Linked DNA regions of Oryzias latipes. The protein of the gene in region 6 binds, or shares a complex with, the protein of the main gene of each other region. Links are inferred from orthologs where the notes say so. Each region holds a gene or a part of one and is shown on either strand. Other genes may lie near its edges. The genes, in order: smarcc2, smarcc1, pbrm1, dpf1, phf10 and smarcd1.

Region 1 (3,500 bases), about 9.6 Mb from region 6:
GGGCCTTGCTCCCACCCCTTTCTCGTGATATTTTTGTTTTGATTGACAGGTGATGTTGGAGCAAAAACAAAAATATACGTCACACACCAGGTGATCTGTGCAGCGTTGAGTCCATCTGGGTGATCTCAAACATGCTTATTGTGCATCTTGGCTGCACCTATTTGGTGTCACCAAGATAAATTTCCATCCGTTTTCTTTACTTATTTGTACCGTCATGACAGCGATGGTGCTGTCAGTTTACCTTCTTGTTGCATCTTCAAAAGGGCAGAATAAAATGTGACACTGAATTTGAAACAGCACATTGTAATTTCTGCATCTATTATTAAAGTATTTATTAGTAATACAGTGGAAATTAATATATTTGGTTAGCATGTTGATTTACGGTATGCGCCCCTAAATTTTCTGGTTGTGCCCCTAAAACTTTCAGTTGGGGGCCACTGTGCTCCTAGTGAAAAAAGTTAGTCTGGAGCCCTGATGATATTATTCCGTAGTTCGAGTTAGTCAAGTTATTAATTGATCAATCAGATAACTATGTGGCCTTGCATCAAATTAAGTATATAGTCTTCTGTTGAACATTTGAAATGTTTACTTTACAGATTCTTTCACGCCCACTTTAAGTGGACTTCCAACAAGTTCAATCCTGAATGGTGAAAGTGTTTGCCATAGAAACATCCAATCACTGCTTACTGAGATTATCTGGTTCCAACATGCCAACGTGCATATACCAAAAGAACGGTGACAAAATTAACTTAATTTGATTGTAATTGAAAGTAAACCATTTTCTGTGAGTGACATAACACTGACTGAGTCCAGTTCTTGGATACAGTCATTGGTACCAAGCAACGAAAAGCAAAAACCTGTGTGAATGAGTAAGCTTTGGGACTTTGATGTTTTTAAATCTTTTTAACACTGCATGTTAACATCTCCTGAGTGTAGTAGCTCAGCCGGCTGTGTTCGGTCTGACACATCACGTTTGACTTTGCAGATTGTTAAAATATATTTATATATTTTTTATATATACTCTGGTTTTTGACTTTTTTGGTTTAAAAATCCTTTCAGCAGCTCACTGTTTACACAAGTCACCACAGTTCATCCATGTCAGTTCTAATCAATCGAGTTAATTGATTTTTTATTTAAAGCAATTCAATTAAATGAATCCTTTGTCAAATTTTCTTTTTAAAAAATTTTAGATTTTGAAAAAAACTAGTCACTGTAACCGAAAAGGTGCAACTAAATGTTAGTGAAAAGGTTGGTGTCCTACATTAAAAACTACTAGGAAGGAACAGTTTAACATAAAATACCTAGAAATTTTCTAAAAAGATTATTGATCTGGTGCACATTATAAAAAAAATCGATTCCATTTGAGTAGAAATGTTCTCAAACCCAGTACTTGTCATTTTAATAATAAAATAATGATTTAGCCTTTACCATAAAATAGGAGGCCTTTCCTATTAAAACTGGATCATGATGTCATCAGACAGTTGCATGATGGGAAACATTACTGTAGTTTTTTTTGAAGGCTCAGAGCGTCCTGTCACTGCTTTCATTCTGAACTCACCGTTGAGTGCAGGTGTAGTGCTGGAGTGGGCGGCTGGGACCTGACCAGGTGGGCAGGGCGGAGAGGTGTGGGCCCCTGGATGTGGTTGGGACTCAGGGGCCGCGGCTGCAGATGCTGGTGGTGCAGGACTAGGGGCTGCCTGCGGTGCTGGTGTGCTGGAAGCTTGCTGACTTGAAGTAATGTTTTGTGGAGGCTGGCCCGGGGCAGCCTGGTTGGTGTGGGGGCCCCCAGCTTGGCTGTGCTGCTGGTGCTGAATCTGCTGGAAGTGCTGCTGACGCGCTCTCATTTCTGCGTACTTCAGCTGCTCCATGTGGAAGGACTGGCGGTCGGCGAGCAGCTGCTGCCGCTGGTACTCCAGCTGCAAACAGAGGAAGAACACACTAAGACTGGGACTTCTTCAGTGATCTGATCTTCTGCCAGTCTGACTCACAGCCTCCCTCTCTCTGTCCATAATGGTTTCCAGTTCTTCAAAATGTCGTAGTTTAATCTCAAGCTTCTTCATTTGGGTCTCCACCAGCAGAGCCACCAAGGATTTGATCTTCCTCTCTTCCACTGCGGCTAAATGCTGGAAAATAGGTGATTAAGAATCAGATGTTGTAGAAGTGGCTGAAGGCGATGAAATGAAGTTCACTTCACCTTGGCTTTGACAGCAGCAGCTGCTAAAGCAGAGGCGGCAGCAGTCGCCAGGTTTCCTTCTCCTACATCCCGTTCCACTTTCGCCTTTCTTTCTCCATCACTCTCTCCTTCTCTTTGTCCCTCTTCTGTTTCCTCTTTTCTGTCTTTTTCCTTCTCCTCATTGCCTGGAAGAAAAAAAAATGGTTTTTATCTTTCAACTTGGAGAAAAACTCAGTTTTCTCCGTCCATGAAGAAATCGTTTCACACCTATTTCCGCCTCTGTCTTGTCTCCTTCCCTGTCTCCTTCAGCCTCTCTTCCTTTCTCTTCTTCCTTCTTCTCATTCTCTGTATGCTTCTCCTCTTCCACCATCGTTCCTTCTTTGCTGTCCTGTGTTGTGAACCAACCCAGATTAAGACATGCCTACCCAAATTGAATTCCACCACTTTAAACTATGCAACATACTTTGGCCTCTTTCTTCTCTTCATTTGACTGGTTGTCATTTTTGCTTTCATCGTTGCTTTCCTCTGAGGGGAAGACAAGTCCAGCAGTTAAATGTCGCTGCACTCGTAGGGTTTCTGTGTTGTGCAGTTTGAATGCAGTGGATTCAAACCTACCAGGACGCTCTCCTTCCTCCAAGCCAGTTCCTGCGATGCCGCTACCTTCCAAACCATAGAGCGGATCCTGTCGGCCACTGACCCTCGCCGCTTCCTCCACCCGCCGTACGTGGGCCTCAACAAGCGCAGCAGGAACTTCCTCCTTCATCCGAGAGAATTCCTCTGAAAGGGAGGAAGTTCATGCTTGTAAATGTGGAGAACGTTAGTCAAGCATCACCAGTGCATGTAGAATCAATGCGTCACCGAGAGCCGACTTGGCCGCAGCGGACGCCACACGTGGGTCAACAACAGAGGCGAGGAAGGCCACAGTGCTCATGACGGGGTTTCCTGCTTGGCTGAAGGGTACCGGCTGATAGGCCAGAGGGCCCATCGATGAGGAGCTGTCCTCCAAGTATGGATCTTCAATGGGCAGCCGCAGGAAGTGCAGAATGCACTCGTCCTGTGTACGGCTGCCCACGTGTTCAGACACTTTGTTCCAGTCATCCTTGTACATCTCCAAACCCTGACAGAAAGGAGGACGTGATTTAGCGCCATCTCAGCTGTCCTACTAGTAAAGAGTCATAACACAATGTCTCACAGTTTTAGCAGGAAAAAACAGGAAATCACAGCCACAACAATGAACGTGAGACATGTTTTACCTCAAGGAGTAGTAGCGTTTCTTGTTCTGTCCACTCCCTCATGGAACTCGCTGCACTCTTGCTCTTCACACAAA
Region 2 (3,500 bases), on a different chromosome or scaffold from region 6:
GAAGCCAATTTGCAAATTTGCTTTTCTTCGTACCAGAATCCGTTAAAATGGTTGAAGAGATGCGGTTAGGGTTACAAAGAAGTTACAGTTTAAAGAGCGTGTGTTTATTTAGGTGACGCTGGCGACATCTCCAGCGTTTAACGCTTAAAAGAATCATTTTTATTCATTAGCCAATGCCTATATCCAAGGGAATAGTTCAGGTAACCTTCAACACCAGAGCTTGACCTACAGTGTTGCTGTTCTCTGATTTACCGTAACTCTATACAGTTGACGTAATTCCAAAAGATTCTGAAGCTGAAGCTTTGAGCCAAAACTCAACATTGTACAGCAGTGAAGTGTCGACACTATCAATGTAAACTTTATACTTGGTAGACGTAAATGTTAACCAATACGAAGTGTAGCATTCCAGCACAAATCTGCTTTTCTCTGATCGGAATCCACTGGAATTACAAAAATGACACACGAACAAAACAAAAACCCCAAATCTTCCACCACGACATGAATGCAGAATAACTTTCTGCACCTAAAACAAAGGTCAATTTATTTGTAGTGTACCATCTATAGGGATACCAGAAAATAAAACATTGGCATTAATAAACTGTATAATTTATTTCAGCTGGGCGGGCCACAGTTTGCCCACGCCTGGGTTAACCTCAGTCAGCTAGCCTGACGTAAACAAACTTGATCATAACTGGGAGCACTGGATGATGTGTTGATGGCATTTTTTTCTGAATCAGTTAAGACATTTCTGGAATGAAAGCTGGAGCCAAACCAGCACCCCAGCTGTCAGAAACACGACTTCCTGCTACATGAAAAGTTTGACCACATTGGTGCAAAAATAATAAACAACAGCGTTTAGCTGACATTTGGAGTAAATACCAGCTGTCTGCTTCGAGTCAGACGGATGTGAATTCCCTGAACAGGTTTGCTTTGTGGTTTTTGCTTTAAAGACACCTCCCCTCAGGAAAGAGGTTCAGATGAGTTTGTCACCAAAAACAAAGAAAACTATGTTTACCTAATAGTCTGAAAAAAAAAGGCGATACCTTTTGAAATTAGAAAAACAATGTAAACATAGAAGAAGACTTTGGTACTCACACATGCCGTTGGGAGCTCCCGGGTGACGGGGAGGCATCATGGGAGGCATTCCCCCAGGAGGGGGTCCGGCAGACGGTGGCCCGGACATCATACGCCCAGGCATTGGCTGACCTGGTCCCATCGGTCCTACAATGAGGAAAAGACGAGGCCACTTTATTGGAATGCCACATTATGAACAAGAAGAAAGCTAAAATGAAATTCGATGATTCTTCCGAAAACCATTGTCTTTACCCGTCGGTCCAGGGTGGTGGGGGGCCATGGGGTGGTGAGCCATGGGCGGGTAACCAGGGTGCATTGCTGCAGCAGCAGGAGGACCTCCAAGATGGGGTGGAGGTGCTCCGTGGTGAGGTGGAGGCGCTCCGTGGTGGGGTGGAGGCCCTCCAGGGTGCATGCCTGGTGGAGGGGGTCCAGAATGGGGTCCAGGACCCTGGGGCCCGTGGTGATGTCCGGGACCGGGGGGTTGTCCCTGCCCTTGGGCCTGAGCAGCGGCGGCGGCTGCAGCGGCAGCTTGCTGCTCCATCTGCTGGCGTGCCTTCATCTCTGCGTACTTGAGCTGCTCCATGTGGAACGCCTGTCGCTCTGTGAGGAGCTGCTGCCGCTGAAGCTCCAACTGCAAAGAAGGAGCAGTGAATCACAACAACAGTCAACATGTCACACTGCAACAACACACGATCTTTCCAGGTACAGTGGTCCCTCATTTATGGCCGGGGATACGTTCCATTAATAACCTGCAACTGGTGAAATCCACCAAGTAGGATTCTAGTTTTCAGGCTGTAAAACTCCCCAATACATTTTAGACACTTCTCTCAGGCAAACATGAGAATAGACATGTAACATAAATTCCGGGCGATAGAGCGGACCAGATTACAAGCTGCACCCTTTACATTTTCAAACAGTTAGCTGTTTTATACACACACACACACAAGCCGCACCTGTATATCAGGCGCATGCGCCCGTATAAACATGTTGTAGTCTTTGTTCTGCACGTGTCGTACAGTGTCAGAAAGGGAGCTGCAAACGCAGATTTCATATTGTCCTTTCCGGCATTGTAGCCGATTTATTTGAACACACTCACTAACAGCCAAACAGCATGGATCTCACTTCTGTTCACAGCCCCCTCAGTCATGGTTGAGGAACTTTCCACCCACGATTCCCCACTTCCCATGAGTCTAAGAGGCTGAAGGCGAGCTAACCCCCGGGTCACCACTCTGTGTTGTAGATTGAGGATGTGAATGTGCTGAAACCGCGCACACGTGTGTGAGAAGGAGGAGGGAGTGCGTGCAGCGGAAGGAAGAGAGAGCGCGCATGCACCGAGTGAGAGCAAGTGTGTTGGGGGTGATAAATGAAGGTTTCCCCCAGAAGAAGATGAATGATTCTTTATTAACCCACTCTGGAGGCTCTGAGGGTCCTAACGGGGAAGTGAACAACCTTTGGCGGAGAAGAAAGAAAGAAAAAAAAGTAATCGCAGGAAAGGTTCAACACATGATATATTTACAAAGAAAGACGGTACACAGAAAGAGTTTTCAAAGTTTTAATGGTATACCTAAGCTTTTCTTTCGGAACAGCAGCAATATGGTAGTAACAGGGCTGGTTTAAAAAACATGAACGTAAAAGTCATTGAGAGCTTTCTTCATCTTTGTCCTGTGCACTGAAACCATGGCAGTCTTCCTCCTCAGTGTTGGATTGGAATAGCCACAGATATTCTTCGATATTCTTCTCTCAGTGTCTCCTTCGTTGTCGCTGTCAGTGTCACTCTTATCCTGAGGCAAATTCACTCCTGAGCTTGCGCTGTCCTTTCCGTCACGCAGCAGACCGGCTTTTCTAAACCCATTGGTGATGGTGGATTTTTTCACACTGCTTTAACGATTGCTTTTAACTTGAAAGCTGCGTCATATTGTAGTGACGGTCACGTGCTTGTTGGGTCTAATAGCAGCAAGGGATTATGGGATGCGGCCAAAATAGGGCTGAGCATTGGTGTTTCTTTTTGTTGCACTGTGACTGAGGGGTCAAAGAGCAGAAGTGACATTCATGCTGTTTGGCTGCTTGTGGGTGTGTCTAAATAAATCTGCTTGATGCTGGAAATGAGAGTATGCATTCAGCTTCGCCCATATACTCCTCCTGAGACTTTTCAGAGTCAAAAGGTGCATGGTTTCTGGATAGCTTTCCATTGCAGTCAGTTATGTGAGTGACAGTTCAGATGACTGACAGCTAGATCCAACTGCTGTTCTTCTTGAATTCCCCGTGAGTATCTGTTTGTGTTATTCATTCTCAAAGCGGGAATTTACATTAATCTTGCATCCCCCCGTCTCACGCTTACCTTTTCTGCTTGAGCGCCCCTAGCGGGCGTTAGAAAAAAGTGCACAAATTAGCTGCATCATTGAATAAGCCGCAGGGTTAAAAGTGTG
Region 3 (3,500 bases), about 11 Mb from region 6:
GACAAAGCAACCCCAAATATATACTAATACTTTATTTAAAAAATGTTCATTGTACCAAATTTTATTGCACGTCACACCTTTCCATTTCTTATTAAATGTTTGTCTCGTTTATTTTGTGTTAAAATGTGACTGAAGACAGTCCATGAAGCACGCAGTAGCATTGTCTCAACAGAGAGGGCGCTCGAGAGCTTGCGTTTGTTCCTCATTTGTTACTAATAAAGTTTATTGAATGAGAGCCAGAATGCTATTTTACGTTTTGTTTTGACTGTTCTGGCAGAAGATTTGTGATTTAATCCATGACAAAATTACTTCTTGTTTTATTTTATTCTGAAAAGATGTCTTGTTGGGTCTAATATCAAATAATAATAATAAGAATATAATAAAGAACTCTGGTTTACTTTTAAATCTATGCTAATTTTGGTCGAATATAATATTCACAAATATTAATTCTCTGTTTGAAATTCCTGTTTAATTGTATTCTTTTCAGAGTTAAATCTGTATATTAATAGTATTTGTAATTCTGAGAAGCAAAAAGCAATCAAAACCTTATCTGTGTGTAAAAGATTCAACATTTTCTTGTAAAGTTTAACCCCCTGGCTTATTTCTGTTTCTATTCTTGTTTTTTCTTTTCAATACAGATGTATATTTAATATTCGCAATTGTGTTCTTATTGCATACCTAAATGTGATTTTTTTGTAAAATGCTATAATGTGCAATAAAGTTTATTTAAAAAAAGGTTTTGTTTTGACTGACTGTAGAAATGATGGGTGTAATCTAGCGAAGGAGAGTCAGTTGATGGCGGTACCCCCATTGACTGTCAACAGCTTCTCTTAAATAAATTTTGTTTTCCTTCTCACTTCAACATCTCCGTCTCTTTCTCAGGACAGTTAACACGTTTTACAAGTGCAATCTATTGACGAGACAACAATCTGGTATTAATTAGCAACTTTCCTTCTTGGAAATGTATTTTTACGTAAAAATTGAATTAGAAGCTCCTCACAATTACTTAGCAACCCCTAAGCTACTGCAGAGGAAAAACTCCTGGAGCCGCCCCTGAGCACAGGTGTATGAAGGCAAAAAAGATGAGGATGCAACACAAAAGGAGAGTAACAGTTCTGGCAGTTTAGCTTCAGATTGCAGCTTTCAAATGTACACTGCGGAGTCTGCTGCATTTATGAGGGGTTACCTGACACAGGCGTCATGCCAGGATTAAGCAATCCCATGGGGGTCGGGGGAGGCACCACCCCCATCAGTGCCCCTACTGGGGTACCTGATTTAAGGAAGGTCTGATGCTGGGTCCTGTCACGCTCCTGCTGCTCTGCTACTTTAGCTGCTCGCTCTGCAATGCAACAAAAAACAGTGAGTTGGCTTTAAAAGACAAGAAAAACAAGATGCATTAATTTTTCACAGCAAGAAAATCCTCTTACCCTCGTACTCTGCTTTCCTGGAAGTCTCCAGGTTCCTCCACTCCGTGCCAACCAGCCGGCTCAACTCCCCAAAGGAGAAGTCTGGGTGCTGAGCTTTGATGACAGCCCGCATCTCGCTGCTGAACAGGATGTATCCACTCATGTTGATCTTTCGCTTCGATCCCTCCTTTTTTGACAGCCCCTTTATGGATTTAGGGGTGGACTGTAACCAAGCACGTTAGAATGCCACATAAAAACGATACAGCGCTAAACACAGACCATTCCCCCCCTTCACGGATTCACTCTGACCTGTGGAGGCGTGTAGGACAGCAGATCCAGGTCACCAGACATGGAGGACTGCATGTGAGACTGGTCGCCCAGCTCGCCGTCATCATCCCCAAGTTCTTCAAGTTCTTCATCGGTCATGTCAGCAAATTTAGCCTCCAGCTTCTCGATCTTCCGATTGAGCAGCGGTGAGGGTTCTTTCTGAGGAACTATGAGCTTCCTGTGCAAAACCGAACGCATAAAAGAATTCACTCTCAAGAATTCAAACCAAAACCTAATAATTAGAGGACTAAAACGGTGAGAAAAAGCTGTTTTCGTGAACATAAAAACACTGGAATATATATAATAATATATAATGTATAAATTTTATAATACATAAAATGTTCACTTATGTTCACCATTTTCCTGTAATTCTTTACAAATATCGTTTGTATAAATGTAAGTTTGGACTCAACAAGTTGTCAAACTTCATCCAAAGTCCTTTTAGAACTTTTCACATTTATCATTTATCATTATACCTCTGTTTATGATTATTTTTTAATTTATCAGTTTGAAATAAATAAAATGAATAAAAGGAAAATAAATTAGATTAAAATTAACAAATTAAAAACACACCAAAAAAAAAGGTTCACCTAAAATAATAGATTTCATCCTCTACCACCTTTCCAGAGAGCGAGAAACGCTTCAGACCCTTGAACTTCTTCATCTGTTTTTCACTTTCAATGTAGCGACTCTCACAAAGCAGAACATCATCTTCGGGCACTTCAGTGGGCCGACATGACAGGAACTCTTTGAAGGACAAAACGACACACTTTCCTGCAAAGAGGAGGAATAGCCTGATAATGACTGCATCTTCAAAACAATAAACCATCACGTTGGAGCAGATGCTTCCAAATCACAGCAGAAGGCTACCTATGATGCAGGTCATTGGACAAGTCTCCTCCAGGTTGCTAAGGAACACTTCCTTCTTGTAGAACATCTTGGTGGGTTCGTGCTCCGTCTCTTCAGGATGGATAAAAATTGGGCCAAAGAAGTAACCCGCTCCATCTCGGATCCACATCTTCTCAATTCTGTTGAACACATAAAGAAAAGTAAGTGCCAAAGTAAACAATTCAAATGGCTTCAGAAAGATTCAACAGATGCAGCTTTGTCCTTTCAATCTGCATTTCAAAATAAAACAACATTATGTAATATTTCAGAGCATAGAGTACAAAAACTTTAAAGACCCACTACAATGAAAAAGGTTGTTTTTAGTGTTTTTAACACGGTTTTATGGGACTATTCTAAAGTTGGAGGAAAAATTCAGATGAAAATAGCATATTTGAGTATTTCTTTGTTCAAATTGTTTGTAATCAGGGGCAGACGAAAAATTGACATTTAAAAAAGCTTGTAGCTGTTACGCAGAAACTATTAACAGCCGGCCACAAGCTCCCAGCTCTGCTCTATTCTGATGCATCCACTGTCAGACAAACGGATCCGTGAACGTCTTTGTTTTACTCGTCTGAGCTGGAATCTGGATCTAAACTGCACGGCTGGATAACTCTGAGACTGCTCACCATTTTTGTTGCACCAGTAACGTGAGGTTGGGGTTGTGAGCTAGCGGGAGAGAGTGTGAACAAAGCGATGATGGGAAATGAAGGGAGGCTTACTCCATGCCAACAACCTCACCTGCAACTCATAGGCTAACCTCTAATGAACTACTGTCGCTCTACAGAAAAAGTTTTTTGATTGGGGTTAAAATAAACAATTATTATAAGATCACCAGGAACACTTTAAGAATAGATCAGTAGCTAGTTGGAGTGGATCTTT
Region 4 (3,500 bases), on a different chromosome or scaffold from region 6:
TGCCACTGAGTCTTTCACACGCTCTCTGAAGAAAATGAACATAACAGAACAGACCTCGCTTTTGTTTTCACGTGTCTTCATGCACGCACGCACACACACACACACAGCAGAACAGCATGCACGTTTGCATTCTAATCATCTGCTCTCAGTGTAAAGCTCCACTTCCAGCAGGAGGGGGCTGATGACACCTAGCAGGGGAGCAACAGTTCCAATTAGCGACCCTGGTGTCTGAGCTGGTGTGTGTCTGTGCGTCTGTGTGTGTTTCCTGTGTTGTGTGTAGGAGGATTTTCAGAATACATTGTTAACACTTGATTATCCGCCCATAGGATGCACAAAAAGAATCTGTGCATGTGTGTGTACGGGGGGGGGGGGGATCTCTGTCTAATCAAATTCTCTCCAAAAGAATAAAAAAACAAAAGTTTCTGAGTACATAGTTTAATATCGATGAGTGTGTATGTTCACTTTAAAAAGTGTTGCTTTGCCAGATGCTGTCTGATTGTGACCACATGCCATGCTGGCTTCAAGACGCACAACTGTGTCGCTCTGAGACACACTAACAGAAAGGTTTTCACTTCCTGACACGCAACTGCTTGATCTTTGACGAGATTTCACAGATTGAACTTGTGAACAGGCTCTGGTTTGGAAAAGGCCATTATAGTTTCATAGTACAAAAGAAAAAAATAAAGGTCTGTTGCCAGCGTACCCGTCCTTTGGTACGATTCTTGCGCTTTGGAACATCTTCCTCCATCTCGTCCACCTCCAGTTCATGAGGGAAATCTCCAACCAGCAGCTTCTATGACACAGAGACAGACTGACGGTTTGGTTTGGTCATTTTAGAGCTCCACAATATGAAAATAACTTGAAATATGCAATATTAGTGATAAATACTACAATACTGATCTGACTAGTGATACATAAACAAAAAAACATTTAATACATAATTTCCATTTTACTGCACCAGTTTTAATTAATAAAAGTCAACATAACTTAAAATACACAACAAGTTAACTCACTAGGAGGCAAGTAAGAACTTGCATATTGGTGAAACACACCAAAGAACAATGATCTACATTTCTGGTTGTAGGCCTAATGGCTAAAACTAATTTAGACAACAATTAAGAGAAATGTCTATGAAGACTCTCATTCATCCAGGTAGATTCAATCAGTAGGTTTAAAGGTTGTCATCTGGACTTGGTTTTTTAAAGTTGAAGACGTTTCACCTCTGTTTCAGCTCTTATCCAAAAGGCTTACAAAGCCTTTTGGATAAGAGCTGAAACACCCAGTGAGGGTCCTTGGGCAAGTTTCTTAACGCTACTGCCTCCCGAGCGCGGTTCGGCTGCAACTCACCACTCCCCCAGGGGATGGGTCAAATGCAGAGAAGAATTTCCCCATTGTGGGATTAATAAAGTATCAATTATTATTATTATTAAACACTAACATCTACAAGATTAAACCCAGAATTTGCATGTTAATTTAAACCAAATTAAATTAAAAAAACATTTTAAAGAAGTTGGTTGATGAAGCCCCTTATTTGGAATGACAGGGAGAGCACATGTTTGACAGGATTTTTCCACCGCCTATGAGCTTTCAGATGACAAAATTTAACATTCTGCCAGTTCCCGAAAACACAAAACAGCAGATGTAAAAAAAACAAACGTGAAGAAAGGCCTCACCTGACATTCACTCATCGGCTCTTCCTCCTTGGTTTCCACCTTCTTGTCCAGGGTTTCCCCAGCAAGCAGTGACTCCAAAACAGGACCATCTGGGATCCCCCCCTCCTTCTTTAAAGAGGCTTCATAGTCTGAAAACAAACAGCAGCAATCTCAGTGTTATGGAGAATGGCTAAAGGAAAAGGAAGCAACAAGAATAGCAGCGTCTGCAACATCCAGAGGCTGGACTCACTTGGAACACCAAAGCTAAGGTTAAACAGTACCAAGCTTAAAAAGAATGTTGGTGATCATTTCATGATGGCTGAGCAGATGGGTTCCAGCATGCACGAATACGAACATGAACATTTGTCTGTGCAGCAAACATGTCTGAGGTAAAACTAAAACATGGGAAAACTCCAGCACAACTGGAGATCTCTGAAATACTAAAATGTTTATATTTGAGTGAAAGCAATAAAGTCCTTCTAGTGAGAATCCAACTATATTTCTGTCTGCTGAGTATTTGCACCAAAAAACCTTCACACAAAAACAAGTTTTCAACTTTGATGCAAAACTTTTCAGTTGCATTTTATGATCTGACCCACACAGACTAGTCCTGCTCATGCCTGGAAACCAAAATGTTCTGCTGTGAGACTGAAGCAGGTGACGGTCCAGACAAACCACAACGAGTCACAGGAGTCCAGAGATCTCTAAACTCTGGTCTTCTGGATGATGTTTCTGAGTGCCTCGTGTTCATGAGAAACTTCTCCAAGACATGCAACACTGACATCAGAAGACAGATGCTCTTCTTTCTTCAGATTCAGGTGATAAGGATAGAAACCCATGACTTGATGTACTGTTTTTCCAAACACTCACCAATCTTAAACTCTATAGGAACAAGCCGAGGGTCCTCCAAGATGTTTAGCCGTCTCTTCTTGCGCCAGCAGCGAGCTGGATATGTGTAAAGCTGACCCGGGGCGTGACCTGAGCGTAAGACACAGAAAAACAGAGAAAAAACACAATTCAGGCCCTCCCCTCAGAATACTCCGGGTGACATCAGAATATTGCCCCAGTGCACACGTCTGTTAGTAAATAGCAAATTTCACTGGGAGACAATTGCACAAATTATTGTTGTTCCACACACAACAGTTGCTCATTTTTATAAAAATTTCTTGGAGTTGTGTGTTTCCAGCCTCCAATTAACTGTTGGAGTGCACTGAGGTCCAAGCCTGATCCTGTGATTCCAAGAAAGCTCTTTTGTGGTCAAATCAGGAAAATAACAGAGAAGCATATTAATCATTTTAAGATAAATGCATTCGTGTTTGTCCTTGTTATTTTTAACCAGGCCTTAATTTCACATCATCTTTTGTGAGTTAAATAGGACATTGCTTTTCACACACCAGTGTTGTGCTCATATTTCTGATGCATCTAGAGTTGATGGATTGTAGCTCCATGTGTCAAACAAACTAATATTGTTTCAGCAGCAAACACAGAGAGGCAGACTCCCGTGCATTTACTGCTATGCCAGTGGCATTTTGCTGCCTACAGAGCCATCTGAGTCTCTGCAGAAACACTCAGAAAGGGGAGGCAGAGGCACACATGCATGCACTTAGAGTTGTGGAGGATAGGAGGTCTGATGATGAGGAGGATGAAGACAGAAACTATCACAGGAAGAGATGAGGCGGGAGGACAAATTATTGTACAGAACTATTGTTGTTTACTAACAGCTTGGAAGCACAAACACATAAACAAATTCCCAAACATGCACACAAACACACAGACAGAGGCACACACCTGGCCCACGGTGGTTCTTCTCCATCCAGATATAACAGTTGCTTTGAGCCACGCCGGTCT
Region 5 (4,028 bases), on a different chromosome or scaffold from region 6:
ACTGAGAGACTACTGTCACTTACGAAGAGCTAACAGTTATGGAACGTACCTTTTATAGTAATCTTGGAATTGACCTGGGATAAGAGCAACAGGGTAGGGTCCTGTTCTGGTTAGTTCTGGAGCAAGAACTTTGAACCTTCCCTGGGGCACCTGAATAACCTGAGACAAAAAGCAGAGGACAAAAAGGAGTTGCATCAGTCAAAAGCTCAACCAACGTTGCACTGATGCAGATTTATTAAACCATCTGCCATTAGACTTACGTGAGTCTGGAGGTCAAAGTAAGCTCTCCTCTCTTCCATTCGCTCCCTGTTGAAGATGCTGTTAAACTCAGCAGCTTTTTTTGCAGCTTTCTTTATGTACTCAGGAACCTTGCTTGCCTCCACTTTCTGAGGGTTCTGCTGCTGCATTTGCTGCAAAAGCACAAGAGAGTACAACTATTTGTTCGTGCGTTTCGACAATTTCTAATAAAAACTAAAGGTTGTTCTAGTCTGGTGTTCTTACAGAGTACTCCTTAGCTATTCTCTGACGCTCCTTTTCCTGCAATATCACAGAGTACTCAGAGTGTTTGGTTGGATACTCCTTTATCATCAAGTCGATCACTTCATCGCTCCGCAAAGCTGTCAATCCTGCATATAAATACAACAGCACTACATTATGTAAGAAATATAAATAAATGTATGAAGTCTGTGCATTAACAAAGAGTTTTAGGGTTGGCTCGTACCCAGGGTGCACTGCGTCTCAGTGATAACATTTTGCTCACGTAGGTAGAGCTTTTCTTTGTGAGACAGGTCTCTCCTCTCCATATCTGCACAAGAATGTTAAAAAAAATTCCCTGGTCAAAACATAATTTGGGCAGTTGCTAAATCAACCGCACTTAAACATTTCCTTTCCTGATCATTTTGTGAATTATTGTTCAATTCTTACCAGGATATTTGCGTTTGAATGACGTGACACCCAAATACTCGCTGATTTGTTCTTGCAGCATGTAATATTCTCCTGTATCATCAGGAGGCCATTTATACTCTATTAGGTTTTCTGCTGGGAAATAAGTCACCCTAGATGAGGAGGTGGGGGCAGGAACAACACATTAGATTTATAAGTTGGTATCTGACGCAATTACTTAAGAATAATGGCAAATTGTAATGCAAAAACAAGTAGCCTACCCAAGCTCTTGGCTGAAGGTGTCACAGCTCCGAGAGCTGTCCCCTGAACCCATTCTCCTCCTTTTCGGTGGCTGGCTCCCATCATTAGATACCTCATCAATTACATCTTCCTACAGAAGTGGAAAAAAGATTCACCAACATTTTTTTTCAAACAGATGAACACCAAAATATATAGAATCGAAAAGCTTATTGTACGGAGCCCCTAAAGGGCCATTGATGAAAAAAAAAAAATGGAGGAAAAAATTTTTTTTTTGAAGTAAAAAAAAATTCTCTTGGAGTAAAAAAAATTCTTTTGGAGTAAAAAAAATTTTTTTTGAAGTAAATAGGAAAAAAAAAACTAACTGGTGCCCACCTGAAACTAACTGGTGCGCACCAGTTAGTTAGTTTCAGGTGCACACCAGTTAGTATCAGGTGCGCACCAGTTAGTTTCAGGTGCGCACCAGTTAGTATCAGGTGCGCACCAGTTAGTATCAGGTGCGCACCAGTTAGTATCAGGTGCGCACCAGTTAGTATCAGGTGCGCACCAGTTAGTATCAGGTGCGCACCAGTTAGTATCAGGTGCGCACCAGTTAGTTTCAGGTGCGCACCAGTTAGTATCAGGTGCGCACCAGTTAGTATCAGGTGCGCACCAGTTAGTTTCAGGTGCGCACCAGTTAGTTTCAGGTGCGCACCAGTTAGTATCAGGTGCCCACCAGTTAGTTTCAGGTGCGCACCAGTTAGTATCAGGTGCCCACCAGTTAGTTTCAGCTGCGCACCAATTAGTTTCAGGTGACATTATGACATTGTCAGTAATATTTCGTGTTTTCAGAAAGTTTATAAGGTCCATATCCTCAACTTTAGCCATTCTCAAGACAACTGTAGCTACTTGGTGCACAATGAGCAAGCAGGTCAACTATCTGATATCTTCTGATACTAACTGGTGCGCACCTGAAACTAACTGGTGCGCACCTGATACTAACTGGTGCGCACCTGAAACTAACTGGTGCGCACCAGTTAGTTTTTTTTCCTATTTACTTCAAAAAAAAAATTTTTAGCTCAAAGAATTTTTTTTTACTTCAAAAAAAAAAAATTTCCTCAAGTTTTTTTTTTTTTCATCAATGGCCCTTTAGGGGCTCCGTATTATTGTGAAAATGGGAACATGTGCAAAACTAGTTTGACTAGGATTACACAGGGAAAAAATTAGCAACACTTTATATTTAAATGGCTACACAATCTAGTTTTTTTTTATTTATATATTTTTTCAACGTTGCAAACTAATAGAGAAATACACGAATAATAGGAGCAAATTACTTCAAGAGGAAGTAATTTGAGCACATTTGAAAACAAATGATTTTGCTAAAAGTGGCTGACAGTTGTCCTAGTGAATGGAAACGTCCGTTGGCTAGCTAGCTATCTGTTAGCAAAACATCGTCATGTTTCCCCGTAAACAACAGCTAATGGATATTTATCAAAGTAGAAAAAAATCACCTTCATGGAGTGCGCCCCAGGAGTAGCGGGACTGCTATCACTTGGTGGTCTAATAATAGGGAATAATGTAGCCATTTTAAGATAAATAATGCCCACAGCTAGGCTAATGATTAGCGGGGGAAACTACGTTTCTTCTTCTTTGGACAACCACGGACTCGGTTGACGTTTGTGTAAATTCAGAGCGCCACCTCCTAGATCCTCCAAAAAATATGTTAAAAAGAGAGAATTTGTACACAACATGCAAACCAATTAATTTACATATAGATAAAACTCTCAGCGAAATGGGCTGTTTTTAAAATTTACTTAGAACGGCGAGAATTTATTTTTCATTAATTGAAACCATAAGAACATATCCAAACATCACCCCCACGCGGTAGTTTGAGGACTATGTGGCATAAGTGTCATTTCAGAATGCTTTTATTTTGAAGAAAAAAAACCCACACACACCGTACAGGAAGTTGGAGGAGGAAATCATAGAATCCAAGGAAATCACCAACAGGACTATTTCCATCACTTAGCAAGCTAAACAAATAACAGTTTCGCCTTTCTCTGCCTTGCAGCTTAGCTGACACACCGAGGATGTCGGAGTCTTACGGTAAGGAGGCTGTCTTGCTTTATACCCGTTAGAATCTCACACACAGATGGCAGGAAAGGGATGATGAGGTCCCTTCGTAAACAAATAGCTAGCTGGCAGGCTAACCGAGCCACTGAGGAGTAGGAAGGTTTTGGCCTTTAAACTCAAATGTCAGCGTTAATAAATCTGCCTTCCGGGTACAGGTGTATTAGTAAAGCTTTATAATGCAAGAAGCTGTGACTATAGGAGATGCTATTGTTCCCGGGATAAGCACTAGGACACAAAGCAAGAGACTCCCGCTTTTCTTTTGCAAACGCAAGTGATGATAGGATATCTCTGTGTTTTGTGAGGCATTGCTCAAATTACACTATGCTACAACTGTTCAATCAATTGAACCAACATTAAACATGATAATTATCTTAGTGGGAGTAAAGAATAAATATATATATATAAGGCTTTGTTCGATCTGTTTACGACACATTTGTCTTGATTTGTATAGTGTAGACATCAGATGTGTACATGTCAACAACTGTATCAAAAAAAAATTAAGAATAGTTGAGTTTATTAATAACAAGGCAGCATATTCAAACCCTGTTTGCTTTATCTATGTTACTACTGTGTTCCCTCTGCAGACTTTCTGTTTAAATTCCTAGTGATTGGAAATGCTGGAACAGGCAAATCCTGCCTTCTGCACCAGTTCATAGAAAAGAGATGTAAGTTTGCTTCAGTTGTAATCACTAGAAAAAGCTTTATAATAATGACACAGTAATTGCCCGACTCTTTTATTTAAATATCTTTAAGGTCCCACTCAAAGACAGTCGTTA
Region 6 (4,238 bases):
TTCATGGGAGGCGAGCTTCTAACAAAAAGGCTTCATCCATAAATAGATTTATTTGATTTGCTAAATAATTACAAGCTGTCATAAGATTGTTTTAGCACATTTAAAGTAACAATTTATTGCGATTTTCGCTGTCTTTTGCTATATGCGGATTGCACAGCTTGATATCGCGATAACGAGAAATTTGCCATTTATCGTGAAGGCCTAGATGGAACAGTCAACAGTATCCTTTAGTGGGATTGGTCTTTAAATCACAAAAATAAACAACTGTAGCCAAATCACTGCCTTAGTGAAAAACATTTTTTCATCGAAAGTCTTTTAGATAAACAGACTTCAACATAAACCCACTAGGGTTCAATCCAAATTCTTCCCCTACCCCTCCAGCTTCTCTCTTTCCCTCCAATTGTAGGGGCATTTGGGGGTAGGGGTGTTAGTTTTTGGAATGGAAAACCTTCACTGCGCGGAGGGATACGGAGCCCTCCAACGCAAAGGTGTTCCGCATGTTCTGTGCCGCAAAAGAGAAACGTATCTCTGCAAGTGGGTGTGCCTTGAAGCACAGAAGTTTACACGTAAATGTAAGTAAATACTTTTTGTTTTAGCATGGCTTTTTAATGTTCTAAAACCCACGTTATTTACTTCTGATCGCCACCCGCTAACGTGGCTGACCGACGACGATTGATGACCTCATCGAGTCAGAGTGACGTCTAAATGACTATTTTTATATGACACTCCATTTGGAGGGCTAACTGTAGGTGTAGGGAGAAGTAGAAGTGGGGGAAGAACTTGGATTTGGTCTAGGTATTGTAAATATGAAGTCTGAACATCTAGGACACTTTTAAAACCCTAAAAGAACTGCAGAAATGTAAACTCTTTCTCTTAGTCTGTTTCAACACAACAAACATCTTTAGCATTAATGTTAAACTTCTTGAAAACGGTGACAAAGGTTGCTGCGTACACTACTCCACACTAAAATTTGAATCACCAAACTAGCTAGCTGTACTTCCACGTTCCATTTTAATTTATGTTAGCCCGCCACTAACAGCTCACTTCCCTCATCATTTTTCACTGCCATGTTACTTTCCCCTCAAGTTCCACAATTTGTTTCCACCAAAACATCCCCGCCTAATAGAACTGGACTAAGTGACCCCCCACCCCCACCCCGGATGTCAAATAGGAAGTACCTGCTCGAACGTGTGTAAACCCCGCCTCTAATGATTGAAATGTTTAATTGACAGACTCTCCTGAGCCTGCTTTCAGTGGCAGAGATGTGGACTAAGATAAAAGCTTAATCCTGATTGGCGACAGGAGTTGCCATAGAAGCGTCGACTCCTACAGACGCAGGCTCATCACCGTTTACTTAGGTGGTCTGGCTCCAACATGGGGATGAGTGTACTGCAGATCTAACAGCGACTGATGGATTCATTTTGCTGGAGCTGAAAGTAAGGCGTTTTTTTTTTCTTTCTACGGGTGACGTCAGACTCGCTCAGTCCAGTTCTCTTATACAGACAATGACATCACCACCCACCTTTCCATCAATTAAGAATCAAACGATCTTGATAGATTTATAAATAAGATACTTCTCCATTCCCTGCTAGTTTATAAAAATAAAACATTTTTTGAAGTTTTTCAAGGTTAAGATCTTCAATTTCTAAAAATATTTATCATGCCCTCAAGTAAATTCTGAGTTTACCTCATTTGTAATTGGTTAAAAGTATGAAGACTCCTCTCAAAATTGGGTGCATGTCTTTATTTTAAAAAAATTAATTCAGGTTGGTAGGTAGGTGGGTGGACTTTTAAGTTTACCATGCCCCCCCCCCCCCCCCCTTTTTAAGTTTAACAACTGCAATGTATGAGTAAACTATGTTGCGTGTACTTTAATAGCAAAACATTACCAAGCGTTGTATTATTAACAAGTAGAAGTTCTCGACGGCGGAGTTACACCTAAAACCTGACCAAAAACTCAATGGTTCCGTTAAGTAGAAGTCAAATCAAATGCCAATTTTTAAACGTCAGCAAAGAGAGACGCGACAAATACAAGCGGGTTTTCGGAAATTACCTTTCAGCAAATTTGAATTTAGACTCACATGACGGTAGCAGCCAGATGTTTTCGCAGAGTACGGTTCCTGAGAGGCGGACTTTTTACTTTCAGATTTCCCAGAGGAAATCAATGGATCCCGTCAAAACGAGACGTATTCATAAAAGTTGATAGATTTAATCAATCTGTATATGCCAGTTAACTCCACACAATCAGTAACTAGAGAACTACGACGAGCGTAACACAGTAACTAGTTACTAGTTAGCGTTAGCAGGCGAGGTAGCACAGTTTCATGTAAGCTAACCTTCTGTTAGCGAGCGGGAGGTTTAGCAAATTCAAACATGATAAACTCATAAAAGTCCGCCAGAGCGCTCGAAAAAAATATTTATTAAAAGTCGATTACTTTTAATGGGTTTCTTAAGTTCTATTGAACTGGGCCTGTAGGGGGACGGGGGTTAATGTTAGCCATTGGCGACAAAGCAGCGATGAGTGGCTTTGTTCTACTAGCGGACCGGCTAGCATTGACGCAAAGATGGAGTGATAACTCACCGGGTACCCAGGCCCAGGCATTGGAGATCGGTACATGTGGTTCTGACCAGCCGAAGATGGACCCATTCTTCCAGTGGGAGTCCCGGGTCCCATGCCTGGTCCAGCACCGGGTACAGGTTGTCCAGGTCCAACAGCTCCACCACCACCAGTCGGTGCAGACTGAAACCCCCCTCTGGACGCCATCTCCTCACTAGATGTCGCCTCCGGTGGAGCAAAGGAACTAACGCGAGAGCAACTGAGGCGTTCACTTTGCGATAGCGCCCTCTACTGTTCTCTTTTGACACTGCACGATTGCCCACATTAAGAGACAAAGGATAATTGTGGGGTATGAAGGCGTAATATAGGCTATTTCTTAAAAAAAACATTTAGTATGTTCCTTTATAATATTTTAGTATTTTTCGTGAAGTTTTTTTGTTTTGTTTTTCGTGCTATTTTTTTTAAATACAAGAGCAAAAAACAACAAACAGGCTGGGCAGCTACTCATGAAAACTACAAGAAAAACTATAAAAGTATAGTTCATGTAGTTTAAAATATGTATTAATATATATCAATATATACATGTATATGTATTAATATTATTCATATATAGTTTAAAATATATATTAAAAACACGAAAAAATCTGTCTGGTCTGTAGAAAATAAAACAATTAAAATAAAAAAAGAAAGAACATTTTAATTAGCTGGAGTAATACAGTCCTGACAAGTCCTAACAACCAGCATTCAATTTACATGATTATATGCACAAGAATAAAGTCAACGGGTAGGCCAACCATATTGGAGTAATTTAGGACGCTATTAAATTGTCTTCTTTCTTTTCATGTGAATTCACTAATCTGTTCTATTGCCTTCTATATGTCTTTCATTTATCAAAACAGAATACATTGTTTTTCAATTTTCTCTTATCGAACAAAATAAAACTTAGAGCAAAACAAAATGCCCCAAAACATTATTAACTTTTAAAGAACACATTTAAAAATAAAAGTTTTCATTTTAATTTAGGCTACAGTACAAAATCAATTGGTTCAACAGTGGATTGCTGATATTTTTCATTTTTCATAATATATGACTGTTTTGCAAATGAGAAAATCATTTGATTTTTATTAATGTAACTATTCATATTTTTGTATCATATCCTTTAAAAAAACAATCATGTATGTTTTTAACTAACTTCTATTTGTGTACATATTTGCAGGTTATTTCTGAATGTTTTTAGAAGGTTTTATAAAATAGAAATCTTGATGATGACGTTTTCAGCTACAGGATTGTTTCTTTCCATCATTTTGCTAAGTAACATGTGACACTTTTTGTCTCTACAAGTCCAGAACTTGACTATGTTGAGATAAACACAATATCTGGAGTAGAAAATATTTTCTTTTCAACAACACAACACCTGGTATTTTGTGATGCCTGTTTGTTTGGGCTTTCTGTTTTCTGCTAGTATATACGAGAATCAGAGTAAACCTAATTTCATGGGTCTTTACTTCTTTTGTACTGCAGAAAGAAAAATGACATCAAACAACCTTGTGTAAGGACAACACAAAAAACGATGTGCATTTTTGCTTTTGGGTGAAGTTGTGGAATAACATGGAGGAATGATTAAGAATATTACACAATTAAAATAAATCCAGTTAGAATATGAAAAGCCCATTGGGAAAAT

Evidence for each region.
Region 1: smarcd1 (region 6) and smarcc2 share a complex: the UniProt entries of both Homo sapiens proteins name them as parts of the BAF complex. The link is inferred for Oryzias latipes from reciprocal best matches to the Homo sapiens genes SMARCD1 and SMARCC2.
Region 2: smarcd1 (region 6) and smarcc1 share a complex: the UniProt entries of both Homo sapiens proteins name them as parts of the BAF complex. The link is inferred for Oryzias latipes from reciprocal best matches to the Homo sapiens genes SMARCD1 and SMARCC1.
Region 3: smarcd1 (region 6) and pbrm1 share a complex: the UniProt entries of both Homo sapiens proteins name them as parts of the SWI/SNF-B (PBAF) chromatin remodeling complex. The link is inferred for Oryzias latipes from reciprocal best matches to the Homo sapiens genes SMARCD1 and PBRM1.
Region 4: smarcd1 (region 6) and dpf1 share a complex: the UniProt entries of both Homo sapiens proteins name them as parts of the neuron-specific chromatin remodeling complex. The link is inferred for Oryzias latipes from reciprocal best matches to the Homo sapiens genes SMARCD1 and DPF1.
Region 5: smarcd1 (region 6) and phf10 share a complex: the UniProt entries of both Homo sapiens proteins name them as parts of the neural progenitors-specific chromatin remodeling complex. The link is inferred for Oryzias latipes from reciprocal best matches to the Homo sapiens genes SMARCD1 and PHF10.

Annotation. Positions count from the first base shown.
Region 1 is NC_019863.2:4,293,630-4,297,129, forward strand, and holds part of smarcc2 (SWI/SNF complex subunit SMARCC2), read right to left. Parts: intron 3,490-3,500; coding exon 3,427-3,489; intron 3,291-3,426; coding exon 3,032-3,290; intron 2,951-3,031; coding exon 2,637-2,950; intron 2,562-2,636; coding exon 2,441-2,561; intron 2,359-2,440; coding exon 2,195-2,358; intron 2,124-2,194; coding exon 1,989-2,123; intron 1,917-1,988; coding exon 1,559-1,916; intron 1-1,558. UniProt on the Homo sapiens protein: Involved in transcriptional activation and repression of select genes by chromatin remodeling (alteration of DNA-nucleosome topology).
Region 2 is NC_019874.2:27,730,777-27,734,276, forward strand, and holds part of smarcc1 (SWI/SNF complex subunit SMARCC1), read right to left. Parts: intron 1,706-3,500; coding exon 1,327-1,705; intron 1,222-1,326; coding exon 1,096-1,221; intron 1-1,095. UniProt on the Homo sapiens protein: Involved in transcriptional activation and repression of select genes by chromatin remodeling (alteration of DNA-nucleosome topology).
Region 3 is NC_019863.2:2,544,331-2,547,830, reverse strand, and holds part of pbrm1 (protein polybromo-1), read right to left. Parts: intron 2,762-3,500; coding exon 2,604-2,761; intron 2,508-2,603; coding exon 2,324-2,507; intron 1,912-2,323; coding exon 1,716-1,911; intron 1,630-1,715; coding exon 1,428-1,629; intron 1,340-1,427; coding exon 1,187-1,339; intron 1-1,186. UniProt on the Homo sapiens protein: Involved in transcriptional activation and repression of select genes by chromatin remodeling (alteration of DNA-nucleosome topology). Required for the stability of the SWI/SNF chromatin remodeling complex SWI/SNF-B (PBAF).
Region 4 is NC_019871.2:18,145,050-18,148,549, reverse strand, and holds part of dpf1 (zinc finger protein neuro-d4), read right to left. Parts: coding exon 3,441-3,500; intron 2,631-3,440; coding exon 2,523-2,630; intron 1,802-2,522; coding exon 1,674-1,801; intron 794-1,673; coding exon 704-793; intron 1-703. UniProt on the Homo sapiens protein: May have an important role in developing neurons by participating in regulation of cell survival, possibly as a neurospecific transcription factor. Belongs to the neuron-specific chromatin remodeling complex (nBAF complex).
Region 5 is NC_019861.2:24,495,952-24,499,979, forward strand, and holds the start of phf10 (PHD finger protein 10), read right to left. Parts: upstream 2,801-4,028; 5' UTR 2,706-2,800; coding exon 2,631-2,705; intron 1,274-2,630; coding exon 1,164-1,273; intron 1,056-1,163; coding exon 925-1,055; intron 806-924; coding exon 722-805; intron 627-721; coding exon 502-626; intron 411-501; coding exon 261-410; intron 160-260; coding exon 50-159; intron 1-49. Other genes in the region: rab4a (ras-related protein Rab-4A), read left to right, coding at 3,210-3,225, 3,837-3,917. UniProt on the Homo sapiens protein: Involved in transcription activity regulation by chromatin remodeling. Belongs to the neural progenitors-specific chromatin remodeling complex (npBAF complex) and is required for the proliferation of neural progenitors.
Region 6 is NC_019863.2:13,904,112-13,908,349, forward strand, and holds the start of smarcd1 (SWI/SNF-related matrix-associated actin-dependent regulator of chromatin subfamily D member 1), read right to left. Parts: upstream 2,801-4,238; 5' UTR 2,765-2,800; coding exon 2,582-2,764; intron 1-2,581. UniProt on the Homo sapiens protein: Involved in transcriptional activation and repression of select genes by chromatin remodeling (alteration of DNA-nucleosome topology).